Arabidopsis thaliana: one gene and its partner. The protein of the gene in region 1 interacts with the protein of each later gene in a pairwise test. Each region holds a gene or a part of one and is shown on either strand. Other genes may lie near its edges.

The links. Proteins that work in one complex are often made in the same cells at the same time.
Region 2: the proteins of AT3G01340 (region 1) and AT3G16230 interact in a two-hybrid assay, tested with the Arabidopsis thaliana proteins (one large-scale study listed by BioGRID).

Annotation. Positions count from the first base shown.
Region 1 is NC_003074.8:126,174-130,817, forward strand, and holds AT3G01340 (Transducin/WD40 repeat-like superfamily protein), read right to left. Parts: upstream 2,822-4,644; 5' UTR 2,719-2,821; exon of another isoform or gene 2,707-2,718; intron 2,311-2,706; 5' UTR 2,293-2,310; coding exon 1,384-2,292; 3' UTR 1,182-1,383; downstream 1-1,181. Other genes in the region: DEL3 (DP-E2F-like protein 3), read right to left, coding at 14-91, 162-214, 391-458, 538-632; AT3G01345 (uncharacterized protein), read left to right, coding at 3,146-4,546. UniProt on the Arabidopsis thaliana protein: Required for protein transport from the endoplasmic reticulum to the Golgi apparatus.
Region 2 is NC_003074.8:5,497,974-5,504,370, reverse strand, and holds AT3G16230 (Putative eukaryotic LigT), read right to left. Parts: upstream 4,318-6,397; 5' UTR 4,099-4,317; intron 4,005-4,098; exon of another isoform or gene 3,881-4,004; 5' UTR 3,809-3,880; coding exon 3,783-3,808; intron 3,753-3,782; exon of another isoform or gene 3,613-3,752; coding exon 3,564-3,612; intron 3,426-3,563; coding exon 3,302-3,425; intron 3,235-3,301; exon of another isoform or gene 3,214-3,234; coding exon 3,092-3,213; intron 3,009-3,091; coding exon 2,971-3,008; intron 2,896-2,970; coding exon 2,816-2,895; intron 2,680-2,815; coding exon 2,612-2,679; intron 2,504-2,611; coding exon 2,224-2,503; intron 2,133-2,223; coding exon 2,020-2,132; intron 1,941-2,019; coding exon 1,875-1,940; intron 1,769-1,874; coding exon 1,678-1,768; coding exon of another isoform or gene 1,616-1,677; exon of another isoform or gene 1,572-1,615; coding exon 1,504-1,571; coding exon of another isoform or gene 1,489-1,503; exon of another isoform or gene 1,381-1,488; coding exon 1,340-1,380; intron 1,252-1,339; coding exon 1,068-1,251; 3' UTR 798-1,067; downstream 1-797. Other genes in the region: AT3G16220 (Putative eukaryotic LigT), read right to left, coding at 5,303-5,509, 5,616-5,680, 5,779-5,869, 5,943-6,008, 6,104-6,216, 6,294-6,397.

The DNA.
Region 1 (4,644 bases):
ATATCAAGTAAACCTTGAGTTCATCTAGAGAACGAGGAATCTCTCCAAAACCTTTCCACGAGTATTGATTCTTCCCTCTTCTTGCCACAATCTGAATATACACCACAAAACTCTAAATCAGCTCAAGCTAAACCCAGCAAAATAAAAAAGAGCATACATACCCCAATACTCTCCAATATATTGACCACATCATAGATACGCCGCCTTTCAACTCCTGAAACAAAATTTGAGAAATCCGATGAGAGCGTAACCAAAACAGTCATCGGATTACTTAGTTCTCCGTTAGCCCAATTGTTCTTAGTCTAGGAATCGAACGCATACGTTTAGATTTGACCTATCCATCGATTTTAAAATTTCAATCTCACAAAATCAGGAGGAAGAAGAATAAACCTAATTGCCCAGCGGCATCATCGAGCCCAATGAGATCCACATCGTCTCGGTTATACAGTCTCAGGAAACTGAATCGTACATAAGACATCAATTACACATAAATCCAACAAAGCAAAATCTGGTGAAAGAGAGAGAGAGAGGTGTTACTTGGAGACGAGAACCCCAAGAGATTTCTCCTTGCGGCTATAAATTTGCAGACCAAGCGATTCCGCATCTTGAGAAACAACAATCGCAGAAGACATTTTCCCCAGAAACAAAAAACAGAGAAAGAGGACGAGAAATTTCTGAGATTCGGATATTTGTCTTAGCAATTAAAAAAAAAAAAAAAAAACTTTTTGGGGCCAAAGCGGGGGGAGAGAGATTTCGAATTGTGAAAATAGGCGCTTCATTCATCGCTTTAGCACTTGTTATCACTGTTAATGACGCAAATACCCTCGATCCTCTTAACTACACGGAGTATTGAAAGGGTAAATATTATAAATCGATGCAGAGCCGGATTAGCATTTTTTGAGCGCCATCGGCAAAATTTCGTAAATCAAAATTTTATGCCTAATTGAGCATTAAAATTTATCAAGTGGCTGGCTAAACGAGCTGGTTAATGAGTTGAAAATTAGTTGATCGATTAAAAACACAATTAACTAAGGTTGAACAGGCTTAAATTTTTAAAGTATTAATTAGTTAAAAATGAGTTTATATTGAAATCAATTAAATTTTGGTTATAAACTACAATGAATTTACGCCAAAATCGGAATCTCATAAAAGGGTAAAAATGTGAAAAACATCATACCAGTAAAAAAAACTCATTATCGGAATTAAAAAGTTTTATGAAAAATACATTTCTTTTGCAATCTCTGTTGTCTGATTAAAATACATAAGAATATACTTTCCTGAGAAACGTATAGAGAGAAACAGGTCCCTAGAAATTGTATACAGAACACACCACATTTTGATATTACCACAAAACAAAAGATAACCAAACAAACAAACAACAATCTATGGCTCAACAACAGTCACTTGTTCCCACTCTCCATCAACAGACTCTTTCCACACTGTAACGTTATTGTTCCCATCGGAAACAGCCAACAAATTACCGGTCAACGACCACGAGACCCGCCACACTGGTGTTTTGAAATCTTTCAAAACAGTACCTTCCCATTGCTCACCTTCTTTCCCTATGGTCCATATGATCACTTTCCCATCTTCTGAACCACTGGCTATGGTTGACTTTGGGAGACCCAAGTTCGGTGCCCAAGCCACATCACGGACCCAATCCGTGTGCTTGTTGAGAGCCGGGAAACAATCCATTTTCCATGACCCGTTCGAGAACTTCCACACTTTCACCGTGCTATCACACCCGCCGGATGCTAGTTTGTAGACCGGATCGATCATACCAGAGCTAACGAGTGCGCCTGGTTCTGTGGCCGGTGCCCACGACACTGAAGTGACACCAACAGGGTGTGCTTGGTCTATCTTTGTCGTGTCCCAACCGCCATCAGCTCGAGCCGAGAAAACTGATATGTTTCCATCAGATGCTCCGCAAGCTAAGGAGAGTCCAAGTTCATGAGGAGCCCAAGCGATAGAGTTGACAGATACTTTGTGGTCTGTGAAGACATGAGCTTGTGTCCATTGGTTTTGGTTACCTTCTTTCCATAATATAATTTGCCCATCATAGGAACATGAAGCGAGAAGTGAACCAAACTTTGGGTGCGCCCAAGCGACTTGCCAGACAGGACCTCGATGACCGGTTAAGGTAGCTAGATGCTGAGATCCACCGCTGTTGCTTACTCCGGTTATCTTGATCGTGCAGTCAGACGAGGCAGTTGCTACTCGCTTTCCATAGTAATCCATGACCACATCATGAATAGTGTCGCTATGACCAGTTTCAATCTTCTGAGGAGGCATGTTTCCTGAATGCTTTCACTGTTACAATACAAATCAACAGGGAACACAACCATGAGCATGTTGATCCAGACATTAACCGAAGCAAAGTGTTAGATTATTAAGCAGAACAATTAACAAATTATCACAGCCAAGACCATATGGTAAGCACAAGGATTATTTAAACTCAGACCTCAATTTTAAGCGATTAATCAACACAATCAACATCGCAATGTTTACAAGTTGTGAAAAAAACAAGATCAAAACGAGAAATTATAAAACGTGGATTCTAAGATTGATCGCTTCCCACCGATGTGAATGAGAGTACATAACCTAAATCGATCTACAGGCGCTGATAGAAGTCTAGCAAATTTTAACGAAATTCATTGGAAGATCAAATTGAGCTAAGACTTCATAAACAACAGAGAAAAATCTCACATCGTTACGAACCTCTGGTATTGGAGTTATCTTCTTCCTTTGAACTCTCCAAAACTCAGATCTGCTACTGCTTAGAGACGAGAGAGACAAAGCGAAAGAGGCGAGTTTGTGTCCTTATTACCGATTCTACCCCTACTTGTTGGAATGACATTAATACCCCCTACATACTATCAGGCAGTAGATGGGCCATCGTGTATATGGTATTGGGCCTTCAATATTGTTTAGTTGTATTATTGGGTATGTTGAAAATTGAGAACACCAATTTGACATTTTTAAACTGAATTCTTTTCATTCATTCTCTCTCATCGAGGCCAAAGCTTCCAAACAAATTCCGGCACCGGTAGAGCCGTTTGCTCGCCGGTGCCGGGAGCTATCGTTCCCTTGTCGCTCTCTTCTCAATGGCTATGTCATCTGGTGTTCTCTATTCTCCCGTGTTCCCATGTTTCGCTTGTCTTTTCTCCCTTTGTATCCAAAGATTACCTTGACCACCATACCTCTGAACACGTTCACTTCTTGTGCTAGTTCTCCCCTTATCTTCTTTGCGACCTCCGTGGTTTATCCCTCTCCTCGGCTCCCCTTGAAGTCAATACCGGCATCTCCCTATTCCCCTCTGGATCGGAGCTTTGCTTTGACGCCGGAGCTGTTGAAGAGCTTTACCTTGGAAGATCCAACTTCTGCAGACCGAGCCTCATCGCAAACAAACTTCGTTTGGTTAGATCTTGTCTCTGACGCCCTCAATTCGGCAGCTGTAAACCCTAAGTCCGTTTTGCCGTCGCCGTCGTCGTTGGTGACAAAGAGAAGATGCGCTTGGCGGCTAAACCTAATGCTGCCTCAGGGTTTTCGCATTGGGCCCAACCCAAGCCCCTTCTGTCCTCCCCCTAACCCATTACCTAAACTATTAAAGCCCATGAAGCCTTCTGCTGGGTTAAGCCCATATCCTCTAAGGCCCAGGTCTGTTTTCAAATCTGTTTTACAAAGCCCAAATTTTTTGATGTTGTTATCATTTAGGGAGAGTAATGGACGCTTTCCTGTGATGGTGATGATGGATTTAGCTTGGATTAGTAGCTCTCTCTCACAAAACCTAGTTGATAGTCTATCTCGTTTGGTCCGTTTTCTTCAGTGTTTGAGTCTAGTCTTGAATCGTTTGGAGCTATTTTCTCTTTGGAAGTGTCCTAGAGTGTTGCTGCCCACACCAAGTATCGTTAATTTACTATCGAGTTCCCTCCTTTTAGCACCCTCTACCTCTGTTTGGGCTGGTAATGGACGCCTTGCTATCAGAATAGTGGTTTGTTTAGGTGGGAATGGTAGTTACCATTGTCGAGATAAGATGTTAAGTTTTCTTTGGACCCTATCCGAGACTCCTTTACCCACCCATAGGCAAATGGCCTTTAGAGTTAAGAGGATCGGCATTATGACCCTGTCTCTACCGAGTAGGTGTTACCGAAGCCTTGAAAACTCTCAACTTATCCACTCACCATTTATCGCGCTCATTCATGTCATGTTAATCTATTGCTTGGATAATTTGCAATCTCTTGACATGTTGAAAAAGTACGGCATTATGACCATGTCTTCAAGAAGTGGTTACCGTCTTTTTCTCAACCTCGTTAACCCGTCAGCCTCCTCAACGGAGCACTTCTTCAAAAGCTCGGATGCATTGTTTGCAAGAGCTTCTTTTGACCACAAGATGGTCGAGGATTTCGCGAAGCCCGCCTTCATGGTCGAATCTGCCAAGGCCTCAACAGATTTTTCAATCATTAGAAAACTCATGAAGCTTCTATCCTTATTTTCCTGTAATTTCTTATTTTCATTGTGTATGAACTTGTCTCTTTTGAGATTTTAATGAATGAAGATCTTTGTTTGACAAAAAAAAAACTGAATTCTTTATATCATTGTTCATATATATAATAACTGAAGAAACATAACTGTTACTAATATAAG
Region 2 (6,397 bases), 5.4 Mb from region 1:
TTAGCAATCAAGTTATTCGTTTGAACGTAAGAAATTTGAATATGAGCTTCTTCTTGTTTTTTTTTTGTATCATATGCTGAGATATACGGTTGCTACCATGGATAGTTGCAATGGTGATAACATTTTTCTTATGCATTACAAAAACTTGAGATTTACATAATATATCAGTTTTCATCTCCCTCATTTTTAACTAAAATTTTACCAATTTTTGCTACTTCAAATATATGATCAATGGAAATAAATATTTTGGTAATATAAAAGGGAATAAAAAGTTGTTAGATCGATTAAATCACACGTTAGATATATGAACGATCTTTTGCATAGTGTGCTGTTTTTCTCTAATTAAAAAAATTATGCAAACACGTTAACATATATATAGATATATGTATGTTAACTGGAATGACATGTGTTGATGTTTTACGTTTTACACTTTTTAAAACTCTTATGGTTCTTACTAATTCTAGAAACTCAGTACATCGTTGGTTAATAATTAAGCACATCACTGCTACCTTACCAAATACGCCAAGGGTCGTTTGGATCGGATCATTAATTAATTGTCATATACGTCTATGTATTAGACACTCGTTTAAGCTTAAATAGATGGTGAACTATATTATAATACATAAACAACAATTGCTTAGAGATTTGGTTAGGCCGGTGGAATTATACGAATCTTAAAGAGTTTAATATGCTTGATTTTCGTTGTCCTGCCTCCATTGCCAATAATCTTTCCAATTTTAGATCTGTTGACTTGCATTATTAGTTCATTACTAAATCAATCAATAGCCTCTAATAAAGCTGTAAATAATCATTTTTCTATTAAATGTACTAAGAACCTTTTTATTACCTTGTAGAAAGAGTACAAGAACGTTTTGGCTCGGTTTATTGAACAAAGACCAAGAAAGAACCAAACCGAAGACAACTATTTGGTTAACACAAGATGACCGGTACAACTTTACAATTTTATCAGGTTCTCTTCTCAAAGTTGTAAGTGCTCATACCACGGGACCAAAACCTGTGAAGATGCTTGAGATTTGAGACTGTGGCCGCTGGTTAGATGATTCTTCTCAGGCTCTCTGTTCTCCTGGAAATGGTATTGAACCACAGCAACGGTAATAACCGTTCTGGTCGAACACAAAACGCTGTGAGAGATGAGCTTCTTGGATCAGATATTCTCCCCAGTCTTCGTTTCCAAACTGTTTGTGTATCTCTCTTGCATCAAACGTCTCCATCTTCTTCTTATTGTTCTTTCTGAGACCAAAAGGGTTTTCAGATAATCAGAGGTTTGTAACATTGTTTTCTTTATCTAAACATAAGTCTGGAGTTGGGAATCAATCACCTCCTTTTCCTGTGCCTCGCATTCATCACGGTCACATGCAGCTGCAAAGAAAGGAAAAAGTATGAAACAGAAGCACGATTCACTACTTCCAATTCCATTAGTTCTGAGCCTTTGGCTAACGTTAAGTGACTGCAACAATCTCGTCATACTCAGAAAGCTTTTACCTTCAAGCTTTGCTTTGCATCTTTCTCGAGAACAAGCCCAGCTTTCACAAATGCATCAGTAATAACTTCTGAACTTGGTATTAAGAAAATCGAAAGCATTTACACTAAACTCTTAATTTAACGGTCTAACCATGCCACTACTATAAATAACATTCGTACTAAAATCTAGGATACGACAAGCACGTAAAAGCCGGCCTTCATCACCAATTTCTTCAACAGGAGCATAGAGAACACGAGTCTTGTCTAATGGTCCTCTCATACAATCCTTAAGAATATAGCAAATAAGCAACATGACAGATGAGTGAATAGAAATAAGCTGACCAAGTACATAAATGAATTGTAAAACTAAAGCTAAGGATGTATCATCTTACCAATCCTTTAAGTCTAATGAATACTGGTTTGTTATCCAAAGCATCCATCACACTAGGAAATATACTCTGGATTGTAGAATAGAGAAAACTCAGTTTCATTAAGCATTCCTAATAAATGAATGACATCTCTTCAGAAAGAAATTACCTTCAGAACATCACACGCTGCATTGACACGATCTTTGTTCCATAACTTCAGCATAACCACAGTCAAGTGAAAAGTACTTGGCTTAATAAATATGGACTTTTCAATTCCTAAGTCTGTCAATGTATAAAAAGTTACTGAGCATATCAGAGGGAACACTTTATCTTCTTTCTTAGATCAAATCAAACGACTTCAGTATTTTCTTACCCAATAAAGTAGATGACTTTGATTTGGCCTTAGGCGGGTAACTGACAATTGGTATGCTCTTGATACCCACATTGACCTGGTTTGTTTCACTATTAGCTTTTAGATCAACTGCCACACTTGTGGTTGCTCTATTAGCTTGGTCGTCTTGCTTATCACTAGCTATGCTATGGATCCCGAGGATAGAATTCTGAAAATTCACTAGCTTGTCCACTAACTCAGGATGTATGGCTAATGGAAGTGATACAAAGTGTGAGTAGTCGAGACTTGGACTCCTTACAACCTAGAATATGAATTCCAAAGCGCACAATCAGAACGAAATAAGTAGAACAAGAAGGAAAATAAAAAGCCGAGTATGATAATAAAAGTTCAAAAGGAAACGACAAGGGACCTCATCGATAATGGTTGCTATTCTTTTTGAAGCTTTAGTCACACAATCCACTGAACCGCCTTCAATGCCTGCAAAGAAAAAAGGACACAACAAAACAAGATTTGGTGAACCAAAATCAGTTTAAAAATGGTAGCTAGTCAGCCAGCTAGGATTAAGGGCTCAGATATCAAACTATACATTACAGTTGGTTCCAAAAACTCTTACTGATATGATCTTTGTTCCTTGATGATGGAAGAATGATCTTCACTCCCATTTCCTCTTCAAGTTTCATCTGCGTCGTTCCTCTTTTGCAAAGAATGCAAACCCGTTAGCACGTAAGTATACCTCGAAGGATAAGATTAACAAACTAGAGCTCTTACTCTTTCCCTCTAATGAACTTAATCAAAGAAGCCCCAACCTGAAACCAATTACATAAAGTCTGTTAAGTAGTTGAAACAAAAGAGCACAAAGAAACTTCAAGTAACAGAAGGAACAAAGAACCTCAAGAGAAACTGAATGCTTTCCAGCTGAAACAACTGAAGCTGTCTCTCCTTCAATAACTTCCTTAGAAACATCACTTGATTTGCTACACTGAGCTACTTCTTGGACTTCATTTCCAGCTTCTGTCTCATCATGTGAAAGCCATAAAGGTGGAAACTTTCAAAACCGGGATGGAATATTCGATTAAACTGCTAAATTAAAGATCCTAACCAGCAATAACTGAAGAGGTTTGAGTGGAGATGGGTCTCCACACTAAATTTACCATCTTCTGCTTCTTATATCCATCCATGGCACTCTTCTCACTTCCCCTAAAGCTCAGGATACTAAAAGATTCCTGAAATGTGAAGTGGTGTAGCCACAAAACATCAAATCCAAATTCCACGAAAAAAAATCTCAAATCACTTACAAAGACTAACACTTGCCAAAAACTAGAGTAACAAAATGCCAAGGAGACAACAAATTATTGAATTACCGGTTTCGATTGAAAACATCTACTCGTAAACCCAAATACACGGTCAATCCTACAAAACAAACAACATGAGACATAAACAGAAGAAATAAGACAAAATCAAACGATTTTTCTAATCCAACCATCGCAAGGAAGAAAATAAAATTTTGGGTTTTGTTAGATTGATAAAAGATCATAGAATTCAGAAGAAAGAATCAATTTTTTTTTGAAGAGAAAACGAACCTAAACAGAGTCCTGTAAGCGAACATCTTCCTCTCATTCTCCGGTGATGATTCAGCCGTAAAATATCATTTTCTTCCGCCAGTATTTACGACTATTTGCTGCTAAACCCCATTACGTTTAGAAAATTATATATTTGACCGTATACTTTCAAAAAAAAAAAAGCGAGATCAAAGTATTGAAAAGGGAAATATAGATCTCCACAAATTTCGAAAGAAATATTTACTTCCCCTCCTTTCGGATTTTGTTTTGATTTTTTAGTTCAATTTTTAGAAAACTAATTAAGTTATTCAAAATCAAAACCCTAAAAATTTCTCACCTTATAAAATCCTTTCCATCACAGCAGTCAAATGGACGTGTGTATTCATTCCCATTACTGCATCATTGTTCTTTAGGTGTGTTAACAAGTTTATGGTTCGGATGAAATATTTCGGAGCCTTTTATAACCTCTTTCTGCAAACGCCTTGGATTTTCTTTTGGCTTCATGTTGTTCATTAGAATAATAGCCTTTTCATCTTATTTAAAGAACATCCAAGGTGTTTGTAGAAAAAGGTTTCAAAAAAAGTTATATATAGCCACTTTCTTTTAAGTTATGTTACATAAATCCTCTTACGATGGTGGTCCTCCACAAACAATATGCACAACATTTTGCATGTTGCATTCTTTGAGATTGATATGAATATTGTTTGTGGAGACAACCTTGTCAAGGTTTTAGCGGTTTTAATCGAAACAAAAAAAACACAGAATCTGCTTGACACATTTCTTATACTTTGAGATACAATCAAATATTTATCCTAAGGTTTGTAATCAAACCCTTATCTAGTAAATGATTTATTTAATTGCATACTAAATTCACTCTAGAGTTCCTTTTAGACTTTTCCCTTTTTGCCACTGGTAACTAATTATGAGAAGAAGAAAAAGATGAAAGGTCCTATGAAACAACACATACGACAGAGTTTAAAGAGCTTATTCGTCTAGAAAGAGCTGGTTCGCTTTTTGATCTATCTAGATTTGGCATTCAATTGGTAAAGAGACGAATTAAAGTTACAGATTTATTATGAATCTCTATGTTTTAGGAATTAAAAGTTGGATAGATAATCAAAGTCAAAGATGATTCAAGCCACTAAATATGTATAACTCAAGGATGCGTCTTATGAAGATGGGTTGGTTATTCAAAGCTTGCCTCACATTAGGAGAAATACTTTTGTTTCTAGAAAACATCTACTCGTAAACCCTAATACACCATCAATTCTACAAAATTACCAAAAGAAGTAACATGCGATATAAACAGAAATAATACAAAATCAAACACTTTTCACGAATTTTCTAATCCAATCATCGGAAGGAAGAATATTACTGTCCAAAACTTAACTTACAAACAAAAGTTACACAACACATAGTTACCAATCGCTGTGACACACACATATAAAAACAGTTACACAGTGACATACCATACTTACCTAAGTTTTGACATTAATTTTCCTAATGCAAATCATGTGGAGGAGATTTGATCGTTGTCAATGTCACTTATGTGGAAAAGGTAGTGAAGCGCAGCAATGGAAGTAGCCATTGGGGTCATACTTATAACGTTGTGAGATGTGAGCTTCTCTGATTAGATATGTTCCCCAATCCTTGTTCTCAAACTCTTTGTGTATCTCTCGAGCATCAAAAGTATCCATCTTTTTGCTTTTATCTTTTCTGTAGCTTGCATTCATCAACGTGGCGTGTAGCTGCAAATAAGGAACAAGCATGAAGGAGAAGCTGAAACATTGTTATATCCATCTTTTTCTTTGTCCTAGTCAAAGACGTAAACAACAGAAAAGTGACAAGCATTACCTTCAAGCGTGACTTTGCATCTTTACCAGCAAATCCAACATTCTCAAATGCATCAATGATAACATCTAAACTAGAGAGTTAAAGAGTTCAGAAGCACTTGCATAGTAATTTGAAGTCATGTCTTCACACAAGTAAAAATAAGCGCTTAGAGAAATTAGGATACGACAAGCATTTAGCAGGCGGCCCTCACGACCAACTTCTTCAACAGGAGCATAGAGAACGCGAGTTTTGTCTAAAGATCCACTCATACATTCCTTAACAAGACAAAAAACCATTGGGATTGATTCAAAGATTATGTTTCAAGCCACTAGAAATTGTAGCAATTACCAATCCTCTGAGTCTTATGAAGACAGGTCTGTTTTTCAAAGCTTGCCTCACATTAGAAAAAATACTCTGCTTTTCAGAAAAAGACAACACCTCAATCATCAAAGCAATCCTAAGAAGAAGAACAAGTACACTATGTCTCTTAGAATAGGAATCACTTATACCTGAAGGATATTCTGAGCTTTAACCACAGATTCATTGTTCTCTAACTTTAACATAACCACAGTCAAATGGAAAGTTTTGGGAGTTACAAAGATCGATTTTTCTATTCCCATTTCTGTCCAATATCCAAAAACATGTCATAGAAACATGTTCTACACTTAAAACATTTCTTTATTTGGTTTGTGATCTTACCAGCTAAAGTACTCTGAAACTTCAATGGATCCTTATCATTGTTTCCCAATACAGAATTCTGAAAAGCCTCGATATTTTTCGTCAAGTCAGGGTATATGGCTAAT